Linked DNA regions of Caenorhabditis elegans. The protein of the gene in region 2 interacts with the protein of the main gene of each other region in a pairwise test. Each region holds a gene or a part of one and is shown on either strand. Other genes may lie near its edges.

Region 1 (3,755 bases), on a different chromosome or scaffold from region 2:
ATTCTTCTCTTGTTGCTCTGGAAATTGCTCACAGTACTTCATGATAGATCCGAATACGCTACTTTCAATAACGAAAGGCTTATGGCCAAATGGGATACGGTAAGTGACACGGAACAAAAAACATATAAATTTATCAAATTATCATTTTTCAGAACGAGAACCCAATCTACAAACAGGCCACGACAACATTTAAAAATCCAGTATACGCTGGAAAAGCCAACTAAATAGTTTTTATCCTTATATTTTAATAATTTTCCCAAATTTTCTAATATGAAAGCTCAATTTCTCCATCCAAACAACTCGAAACGAGTATTTAGCGATAAATTGTCACATTCTTCTTTGTTTTATTCAAAAAATCTCCATTTTTTTGTTTTTTTTTCCTTCATCAATTGTTCATCACACTGCTTTTACCCCATTCTAAATACGGATTTTTTTCTTCCTTCTCTATATATTGACTTGCTTTATATTCATCTTTCATTGCCTTTTGTCCCTCTTAACACCGACCAACAACTCACACACTTCTTGTACTATTTCCAATTTTCAATGGTGCTTTTATTTTTGAACTATCTTGTTCGAATTTTTCATGTAATATTAATTTTATATGAAAAAAATCTGAAAAATTAATTTTTTGTCTTTTTAATTTTTGGTTGAAACTGATATTAGCCATAACTATCTGAGAAGACATGTTAAATAATATTTTTAAATTATAAAAAGGAAAAAAAATTGCGCGTAAAGTGAGGAGCTTGGTGTTTGCATCCAAGTGCACAGAAAGCATTCAACTTGACGACAATTTTTTATTTCTTTTAATTTCTTTAAATTTTTTCGTTTAAAATTGGAATTCTTTTTATCCTATTTACCGTGTGGATTTTCAATTTTTCAGTTTAGAAGATTCCCAAAAGTTCGAAAAGTTTCAAGTATTTGACCCGAAGTGGTTTGACAACTGTTATTAAGCCTGATTAATTTATTTTTTGCATATCAACCGATTTAAAATTTAGTATTTACCACTTAAAAACGCTAGAGACTACAATAATCAAATATCTGACCCTCCTTCAAAGAATAAACAAGTTTTTTTTGACGTGAATTGTAGGATTGAAAAAAGAAAGATAGAGAAGTGACTAGACTTTTCTTAAATACGCACAAAAATGAGAGAGCGCAGAGATAAATGCTACTTTCAGTTTTGCACGCAGACACAGAGTCAGTTGTTGTTCCCCGAGTGTCCTCTGCGGCTTTTTATGCTAAATCAATGTTTCTTTTCGATAATTTTCAGTTTTACTTAAATAATTCGAAAGTTCTCTAATATTATTGTTTAAAATTTCAATTAAAAAACCGCCCATCTTCATTTTTGCGCTTGTTTACGATCTGTCAAGAGATTGACGGCGACTACAAGGTCTTTATTGTTTTATTTTTTGCTTTCTAAATTAGAATTTAAAAAAATAATAAGTTTTTCGAAGTAGTTTCTAGATTAGGGCGTATAATTGTTGAAAAAAAAAACACAATTCATAATCTATTTAATTTCAGTTTCACTGGATTTTTAAAAGCTGAAAGTCAAAACTGAAGGATTTTTCAAATTAACAAATCATTTTTTTTTCATTCTTCTAGCTCAATACGTGCCAAACGATTAGATCTTTTCAAATTTCACATTTTCTTTCTCTGGCCTATCTGTTCCACAGCGATTTCGTTGTTTTTGACAAAACTCGACAGCAGTGATCGGTTTTTTGGTCACATCGAAGGACTTGTGACACAAAAATTAGTTTTTATTTTTGTTAGTTTTAGTTTCGAAAACATAAATCAATTTTGCAAAACGTTCTCTCATGATTGTCTTCTTGAGTTTTTATATTATTTCCTTCGATAATATCAATTTCCAGATCATCACTGCCTTTCCACAAAGGCAAGATGTATCTTCAACTACTGAAACCCACACTTCTCCGATGCTCAACCCGTCCATCTTCTTCCGGAGCTTACACCCGCTCCCCAATCGATCAAAAATGGGCTGCCATGGCAAAAAAGGCGATGAAAGGCCGTGAAGCGGACACTTTGACATGGAATACCCCTGAAGGAATTCCAATCAAGCCACTTTATTTGAGATCTGATAGAGATTGTGATGCTCAAAGATCTGTTGAACTTCCCGGTCAATTCCCATTCACTAGAGGACCATATCCAACAATGTATACTCAACGGCCATGGACTATCAGACAATACGCTGGATTTTCGACTGTTGAAGAGTCGAATAAGTTCTATAAGGAGAATATTAAAGCAGGGCAGCAAGGACTTTCAGTTGCATTTGATTTGGCCACTCATAGAGGGTTTGTTTAAAAAAATCGATATGAAATACTCAAAATGGTCCCAAAAGTAGCCTAATCCAGCTAAATTCTCTAATTTTGTCAACTTTTCCTTGTTTCAGTTCTCGATTAATTTCAAATTAGTAAATTGTTATTTTTGGAACCAAAATGCAGTTTTTAACAAAAAACAATTAAATTAAAAATTGGTGAAATTCTAGAAAACTCAATGGAAAAAGAAGACGACTTTCGGTTGTTTCGAGCATTTTCCATCGAGTTTTCTCGAACTCAGCCAATTTTCTGTGGGTTTTTTTTGTTAAAAACTGCATTTTGGTTCCAGAATGAACAATTTATTAATTTAAAATCTTAAAAAAATTACAAAAAATCGCTGAAACAGAAAAAAAGTTGACAAAACTAGAGAATTTAGCTGGATATACTCCAACCAGCCGTGGATCGCACCTACGGCGCGGCCCACGACTTTTTTGAGAAAACACATTAGATATACGATGTCTATCGCGGACCTCGATCGATGTCTGCTGCGCATTTAGCATAAGGTTTCCCAAAATTTCGTTGCTCTGATCAGAGATCAAACTACATAGTGACGGAACGACACGCGCTTTATATGTAGTAAATTGATTGATTTTGAAATATTGAACCTGCGACAAAATTAATAAAAGTAGGTCTTTTGGGGTCATTATAACTTTTCAATAAATCATTTTTCTAAATCTAAAAATTTCCAGCTACGATTCTGACAATCCGCGTGTATTCGGAGACGTCGGAATGGCCGGTGTTGCTGTGGATTCAGTTGAAGATATGCGTCAACTGTTCGATGGAATTAATCTCGAAAAAATGTCAGTTTCAATGACAATGAACGGAGCTGTCGTTCCAGTACTTGCCATGTATGTTGTAGCTGCCGAAGAAGCTGGAGTCAGTAGGAAGCTGTTGGCTGGAACGATTCAAAATGATATTCTCAAAGAATTTATGGTCAGAAATACGTACATTTATCCACCAGAGCCATCGATGAGAATCATTGGAGACATCTTTGCATACACTTCTCGTGAAATGCCAAAATTCAATTCGATCTCAATTTCTGGATATCATATGCAAGAAGCTGGAGCTGATGCTGTTCTTGAGATGGCTTTTACAATTGCAGATGGAATTCAATACTGTGAGACTGGACTAAATGCTGGACTTACTATTGATGCATTTGCTCCGCGTCTCTCATTCTTTTGGGGTATATCTATGAATTTCTACATGGAAATCGCAAAGATGAGAGCTGCCCGTCGCCTTTGGGCTAATCTGATTAAAGAGAGATTCTCACCAAAAAGTGATAAGAGTATGATGTTGAGAACACATTCACAGACTTCTGGATGGTCATTGACTGAGCAGGTTCGGAGTTCTCATAAAAAAATAAAATAAAATATTATTTCCAGGATCCATACAACAACATCATTCGTACAACAATTGAAGCAATGGCTT
Region 2 (3,755 bases):
AACCAGGTTTGGGCGAGTTTTAAAAAAAAGTTTTGGTCCAAAAAATGTAGAATTTATTATCGGACATTTTTTTACATGCACCAAAAAATGTTCGACCAGCCGTTTTTGAGGAAAAAAAACCCGCCCAAACTTCCAGGTATACGGTAGACAAATTACGTACAGGCCCCCCTTCTCGGGTCGTGTTAGGGCTCCCAGCAGAGTGAGGCGCGAAATGCGGGCCTCACGCCGACCTCCGCGCACCGATGTGTGTATGCAACGAAGTGCGAAGGGTAGTTATTTGGAGCGGCCGACAAGTTCGGGGTTCCGCAGCTTGGCGTGAAACGAGTAGCTTGGTGTGTGCAGTGCACAACGTAGTTCGAAACTGTGGTTGGCGGCCGACAAGTTCGGGGTTCCGTGCCGCACTATACATTCGGATACATGCGGCGTGAGTGACGCCGACACCGTGAGGCCGGCGCGGCTACCGCTGAGGTCGGCGCGGGACTCGTTGCGGCGACCTCATGGGAGCCCTAACAGAGATGTTAAATTGTTTCAAAATAGCACCGAAACTACTTAATTATAACTTTGCGAGAGCTTACAGATCATTCAAGAATCCCGTCAATTTTTCAACATCTTAAGGAAATTGCCTAAAACACTCACCCTTGTCATATTTTCCCTTGCATCCTTGAAACGAGAACCCATCGGAAAATAGTGTAGCAATCCGGGAAGCATCTCTAGTAGCAATTTCATCTGACACTTTGCTCAAAAACTCCTTGACAGTGGTCTCGGATCCATCGGCGAGTCCATGAATAGTTCTGAAGAGAAGAAAAACGAGAAGAAAATAATTTGTCAGCCACATATTGTGAGGCGACTATCTGCGGAAAAGACGGGATGGTGGGCTCCTTTTAAGCGACAAGATGGGCGGTATGATCGTTATGAATAATCGAATTATTGGAGGGACGGGAATTGGGAATTGTTGCGGGGGACGACACGTCAGCACAGGGAATCGAAAATCAAATTTGGAAAGATGGGAAAAAAATCAAGAAATCTGCAAAATTCGTAGAAGAAAGATGAAAGTGTGGGGAGCTTTTAGATTCGGTAATGTGTATTTTCTATAGAATCCCCCAAAGTTTCGAGTTTTGACATTTTTCATAAAAATTTGATAATGCCAATCGATTTCAATTGTTAAAAAAAAGCAAAAGTTGTATTTTTCAAAAATTCAAAAGTACTGAAAAATCATATGAAGTGCTTCTTTTTTCTTTTATAATACTGTTCAGCATGATCAGAAATACCAGAAAATACTAAAAAAAAGTATGCTAGTCAATCCGGAACATATTTTAAAAAATTGCACAATTTGACCAAAAGCTGTATTTTTCAAAAATTCAAAAGTACGCCAAAATCATATGAAGTGCTTCTTTTTTCTTTTATATTACTGTTCAGCATGATCAGAAATACCAGAAAGTATCAAAAAGAGTATGCTAGCTTGACCGGAAGATTATTTTGAAAAATTGCAAAATTTAGTTAAAATCTATTTTTTCAAAAATTCAAAAGTACTGAAAAACCATATGAAGCGATTCTTTTTTCTTTCATAAAACTGAAAAATAAATGAAGTAAATAAAACGATGCAAGCGCGCTCCAATGCGAATTTGAAAAAATTATGCGGGGGCACAAATGAAATTCGGCGATTTCAAGCTCAAATATAAAATCAGGGATTTTTTTGTTGAATTTTTTTTACATCGATATTCGGAATACTCCACGTGATTTGTAAAATAAATACAACATTTCAGAATTTAAAAAAAAAGAATTGTCCACGTAACCTTGCCCCCCCCCCTCTTCCTAATTGTTCCAACAACATTTCCAAAACTCCTCAACAATCATTCATTCCCTACTTGTCGTACAATTAACATCGAAGAATAAGAGTTTTTGAAAAATGGAAGATATCTACTATTCGCCACGTTACGAAGATGATGAATACGAATATCGCCACGTCATTCTTCCGCAAGCCGTCTCGAGAAAAGTGCCAAAGGGAAGACTTCTTAGTGAGGCTGAATGGAGACGTGCTGGAGTTCAACAGGTATATTTTCAATTAAGTGATATGTTAAGATTTTAGGAAAAAAATCGATAATTAAAAAAAATAGATTTTTCCAAAAATCGATAATTCACAAAATTGATATTTTGAAAAAGCCAATATTTTAAAATATTTTTTATTAAATTAAGCAAGGCTCCCAGCCGAGTGAGGTGCGAAATGTGGGCCTTACGCCGGCCCGATAATTTAATTGCCGGTTTGCTGATTTGCCGGAAATTCTCATGTTCGGCAAATTGCCGGTTTGCCGATTTTCCAGAAATTTTCAATTCCGGCTATGTGCCGGTTTGCCGATTTGCCAGACATTTTCAATTCCGGCTATGTGCCGGTTTGCCGATTTGCCAGACATTTTCAATTCCGGCTATGTGCCGGTTTGCCGATTTGCCAGACATTTTCAATTCCGGCTATGTGCCGATTTGCCGATTTGCCAGGAACTTTCAATTCCGGCAATTTGCCGGTTAGCCGACTTGCCAGAAATTTTCAATTCCGGCAATTTGCCAGAAATTTTCAATTCCGGCAGTTTGCCGATTTGCCGATTTCCAGAAATTTTAAACTTCGGCAATTTGCCGGTTTTTTGATTTGCCAGAAATTTTCAATTCCGGCTATGTGTCGGTTTGCCGATTTGCCAGAAATTTTCAATTCCGGCAATTGGCCGGCTTACCGATTTGCCCGAAATTTTCAATTCCGGCAATTTGCCTTTAATGAAAATTTGTTTTAAATAAACATTAATATGTTGATAGAATCGATATTTCAAGAAAACCGATAGTCATAAAATCGACGAAAAAAAATCAATATTAAATTTCTGAATGTGGCCGAATTATTGATTTTTCATACTTTTCAGTCACTTGGATGGGAGCACTACATGGTTCATAACCCGGAGAAGCACATTCTCTTGTTCCGTCGGAAGCGCCATTTCACAAAAGCCGACGAGGAGCGTGCCAAAATGGAATTGTTGAGAGATATGGAAGTGTTCAATAGAGCGCAACAGCAAACGACAGCAACCGATGAGAAATTGAACGCGGTTTTCTATGAATTTGTGAATAAAGCAGTGTAGATATTTTGTAAGACTTTGGGCTTCCATGGGTGAGCGGCGGTGCGTCTCGCGCCGGCCGGCCATCGCCGCTGTTATTTGGAAGCGTCCGACACGTTCGGGGTTCCGCGCCGCACTATACATGACTGAGGCGTCTCGCTGGTCGGCGAAGGCGCCTCGCCGGCGCAGGAATGGAAGCCCTAGTAATACCGTATGTTCAATTAAAAAGCGCCGAAAATCGATATATTACAAAAGTTGCTTTTTAAAAAATCGATATTTTGGGAAATCGATATTTCGACAAAAATCAATATTAAATGAAAATCGAAGTCATAAAAATCAATATTTTGCAACAAAACCCGTATAGAATAAAAATCTCGGCCGCCATAAAAACGAAGCATAAAGATTTTTATTTCAAATTTTATGTTAACAAAAATTACAAATTTGTTTTGAACGTAGAGTACACCAGGGGCCGGCAATTCCCGTTCGGCAATTTTTTTTGTCCACAAATTCGGAAAGTCGGCAAATTGCCAGTTTGCCGATTTGCCGGAAATTGTCATTTTCGGCAATTTGCCGGGTTGTCGATTTGCCGGAAATTTTCATTTCCGGTAAATTGCCGGTTTGCCGATTTGGCAGAAATTTTCAATTCCGTTAATTTGCCGTAAATTT
Region 3 (3,755 bases), on a different chromosome or scaffold from region 2:
TGCAATCCAAAATCAAACGAGATTGGATCGAGTATCAGTATGACTGGTGCATGTGCTTCTTTCTCAATGACAGATGGATGGGGAGGTAGTACACAGAGTGTAGCATGTCAAGTTCCGGCTTCATCAAATAGAGCACTTTATCTCCCATTTTTGTTGTATGGTCTTGGAAGAAGTCCAAATTTTGTGGATGAGGTAATTTCATATCTTCTAGATATTTTCGTTCAATTATTCCAAATAATCTTTTTTTCAGTTGAATATTGCCATTCCGAAATACGCAGATCGTAAAGAAGATTGGAAACACAGTCTTAAACAGATTGTTCCAAATTCTCGGATTATTGTTCTCCCACCATCGGATCAATATCCACACTGGACGAGTCGGCTCTACGTCACACCATCAGCTCTTATTGTTCAGGTAAGATTATTATGGAGACGTGGACATACGCTCCAAATGGGAACGACGGAAATTGATAAAATAAAATTAAAAAATAAAAGAAAAAAACTTTTCATTTTTAATGCATTCTTTAAACATAATTTCGGCATAAAAATCATTAAAACTAACGAAAAACATTTCAAAATGGTTGCAAATACGAATTCGTTGAATTCACGGGTTTGCTGCCAAATAACTAACGAGACCCATGGCTCGGGGGCGGAGCGTAGTCAGTTGGCCATGGGGCACATTTCCACGTCTCTATAATAAATCGATATTCTCATTTTCCAGAGTCTTGCCGTCATTGCTCTCGTATGCTGTATGCTTCTAATGGTTGTCGTATTCTTACATTATCGAGAGAAAAAGGAAGATCGATACGAACGACAACAACAATCTCATCGATTCCATTTCGATGCCATGTAGATTTTTTTGTGAATTTTAAGATCATATCTTCTTGAAGACGAGATCGTTTTTTACGGGTTCCCATCATTTGTCTCTTTTTTTGCATATTTGACCTTTTGAAGCTTCATCCTGTGTTTAGATTTCCCATTTCGAGCTGTGATTGCACGTCGGAGTATTTTTAGAGATCAGCTTTAAATCCGAGTTTTCCTTGTTTGAAAATAGAAACATTATTTGAAAACAACTGTAATATTTATTCCACGTGACCCCTTACCCTCCATCACTCTCTTTATAAACTGAACAGAGACTTTTTCGTTTTTTTGACGAACTATTAAAATAAAACTTTTTGAATTTTTTCCTAATGAAGTCAAATCCAAAATATTTTCTAATGAATGACGTGGAGCGGCAGAGCAAATATTCGCCGAAATATGTGAGTTTTCTTCAAATTTTTGTTAACTTTAACAAAAAGTTTCCAATTTCAGGTTCCAAACAACAGTCTGAAAGAGCGAATTCTGGAGTTTTTGGATTATTACATTGCGCCATTGAAACTGTAAGTTTCATTTTATGGAAAATTCTCATAAAAAACTCAATATTTTCAGGTATCTTCTGTCTTACCCGATGCCGGATTGCCTTTGGGACAATCGAAAATTGAGGTATTACATCGGAAAATCGTTGCAATGACATGGAACCCACATTCATTTTTTTCAGATTGAAGGCCAGTGGTGTGCAAGTGACTCCGAGCTCCGAACCAGTTCATATCGATGATCGTCTAATTCACATTTCACAGAAACAACCGTCCGAATGATTTTTCGATTTTTATTTAATAAAGTTTTAGAAATTATTTCATTTTTTTCAAGTTTTATCCGTGTTCTAATGGTTTTCTATTACCTTATTATTATTTCTTCAGTTCTCCAAAAAAAAATATTACCCAGACATAAAATGTTGAGGTTTTGTAACCTGGGTCTCGCCCCGAGAAAATTTTGTTAAATGCAGAAAGTTGTGCGCCTTTGGAGTACTGTAATAAACACTTTCGGAATTTTCATAATCGAATCAAAAAAGTTATTTATTAAAGAACTTAACTCCTATCAAGTCGAGAAAACACTGTAGAAAAACAATAAAAATTTGTATCCATTTTTACTTGAAAAATTAAAAAAACTGCAAAAGGCTAGACATTTCTTTTTAAAATTTCAAACTTTAAATGCAAATAAACCTAAAACTTCTTTTTTTTTCAGAAATAATGTCGGATCAGCTGGAAGCCTCTATCAAGAATATTCTCGAACAAAAAACGCTAAAATGGATTTTTGTGGGTGGAAAGGGAGGTGTCGGAAAGACGACATGCAGTTGCTCATTGGCAGCTCAACTCTCAAAAGTTCGTGAGAGAGTTCTTCTCATCTCCACCGATCCCGCCCACAACATTTCTGATGCCTTCAGTCAGAAATTCACAAAAACTCCAACACTGGTCGAAGGTTTCAAAAATCTCTTTGCAATGGAAATCGATTCAAATCCGAACGGAGAAGGCGTCGAAATGGGGAATATCGAAGAAATGCTGCAAAATGCTGCACAAAACGAAGGTGGAAGCGGTGGATTCTCGATGGGAAAAGATTTTCTTCAAAGTTTTGCTGGAGGACTTCCTGGGATTGATGAGGCAATGAGTTTCGGGGAAATGATAAAGTGAGTGTCAATGATTCTGATTTTTAAAAAATCTATTATTTTTTTCAGGTTGATAGACTCTCTTGACTTCGACGTTGTGGTCTTTGACACCGCTCCAACTGGGCACACTCTTCGTCTTCTTCAATTCCCAACACTTTTGGAAAAAGTATTTACGAAAATTCTGTCACTTCAAGGAATGTTTGGACCAATGATGAATCAATTCGGTGGAATGTTTGGAATGGGAGGTGGATCAATGAATGAAATGATTGAAAAGATGACAACGACTCTAGAATCTGTGAAAAAGATGAACGCACAGTTTAAGGATCCTGTTAGTTTTTCAGATTCAAGTGATATTTAAAATTACTACGGAGATATATCACCCAGACGCGAAAATTGTCGTAAAATTCTGCATCTTGGTAATATGTTTTTTTAACCTTTTCAATTATATCAAGGGTAAATTCTAGCTTGATATATATTGAATTCAGAGATTTTAAATCATCAAAGTTTCTGCAGAGCATTCAAATATGTATTTACAGAATTGCACCACATTCGTCTGCGTCTGCATTGCCGAATTCCTCTCTCTTTACGAAACCGAACGACTTATTCAGGAGTTGTCCAAACAAGGAATCGATACTCATAATATTATTGTGAATCAACTTCTCTTTCCGGATACCGATGCAAATGGAACAGTTTCATGCAGAAAATGTGCATCGAGACAGGCGATTCAGTCGAAATACTTGACAGATGTGAGTTTAAATGAGAAGTTTGATAAATTATTAAATTAGAAACTTTGAGCAAATTAATATTGAATAACCACAGTGCATTTTTGACTCTGTCGTGATTTGCTAGATGCGGAATAAATCAATTTTTCCAGATCGATGAGCTCTACGAGGATTTCCACGTCGTCAAACTTCCACTTCTTGAGGCAGAAGTGCGTGGAGGGCCCGCAATTCTTCAGTTCAGCGAACGGATGGTGGATCCTGAAGCTAACAAAAACTAAACTAATTTGTTCTCCTACAAAATCAACTTGTTCTGTGGTTTTTTATGTTAAAAGATTCTTCCTATCCCATGTTTTTTCTCCAAAATTCCCTGTCCCCTTATTTCTCGCTTTATTGTGGGTGCCTTTTTCGAATCAAATGAATAATTTATGATATTCATTGTTTTTTACTTAGGATTGAAGTATATTTGGAACATAATTATCTTTCAAACTTCAGCCTGGCAAACTATTTTTGTCAAGTAATCATTTTAATTAGCTAGATTTTAGACGTAATTTCTTTCA

Evidence for each region.
Region 1: the proteins of Y71G12B.27 (region 2) and mmcm-1 interact in a two-hybrid assay, tested with the Caenorhabditis elegans proteins (one large-scale study listed by BioGRID).
Region 3: the proteins of Y71G12B.27 (region 2) and asna-1 interact in a two-hybrid assay, tested with the Caenorhabditis elegans proteins (one large-scale study listed by BioGRID).

What each region holds. Positions count from the first base shown.
Region 1 is NC_003281.10:3,905,798-3,909,552, reverse strand, and holds the start of mmcm-1 (putative methylmalonyl-CoA mutase, mitochondrial), read left to right. Parts: upstream 1-1,865; 5' UTR 1,866-1,893; coding exon 1,894-2,303; intron 2,304-3,016; coding exon 3,017-3,665; intron 3,666-3,709; coding exon 3,710-3,755. Other genes in the region: Integrin beta pat-3, read left to right, coding at 1-99, 153-224. UniProt on the Caenorhabditis elegans protein: Involved, in man, in the degradation of several amino acids, odd-chain fatty acids and cholesterol via propionyl-CoA to the tricarboxylic acid cycle. MCM has different functions in other species.
Region 2 is NC_003279.8:1,796,797-1,800,551, reverse strand, and holds Y71G12B.27 (Cyclin-dependent kinases regulatory subunit), read left to right. Parts: upstream 1-1,829; 5' UTR 1,830-1,906; coding exon 1,907-2,050; intron 2,051-2,900; coding exon 2,901-3,113; 3' UTR 3,114-3,117; downstream 3,118-3,755. Other genes in the region: Y71G12B.5 (Apolipophorin), read right to left, coding at 637-835.
Region 3 is NC_003281.10:8,893,026-8,896,780, forward strand, and holds asna-1 (ATPase asna-1), read left to right. Parts: upstream 1-2,056; 5' UTR 2,057-2,063; coding exon 2,064-2,497; intron 2,498-2,545; coding exon 2,546-2,804; intron 2,805-3,012; coding exon 3,013-3,222; intron 3,223-3,350; coding exon 3,351-3,476; 3' UTR 3,477-3,629; downstream 3,630-3,755. Other genes in the region: lnkn-1 (Protein linkin), read left to right, coding at 1-192, 251-412, 719-850; ZK637.4 (uncharacterized protein), read left to right, coding at 1,188-1,256, 1,309-1,376, 1,426-1,479, 1,535-1,631. UniProt on the Caenorhabditis elegans protein: ATPase required for the post-translational delivery of tail-anchored (TA) proteins to the endoplasmic reticulum. Recognizes and selectively binds the transmembrane domain of TA proteins in the cytosol.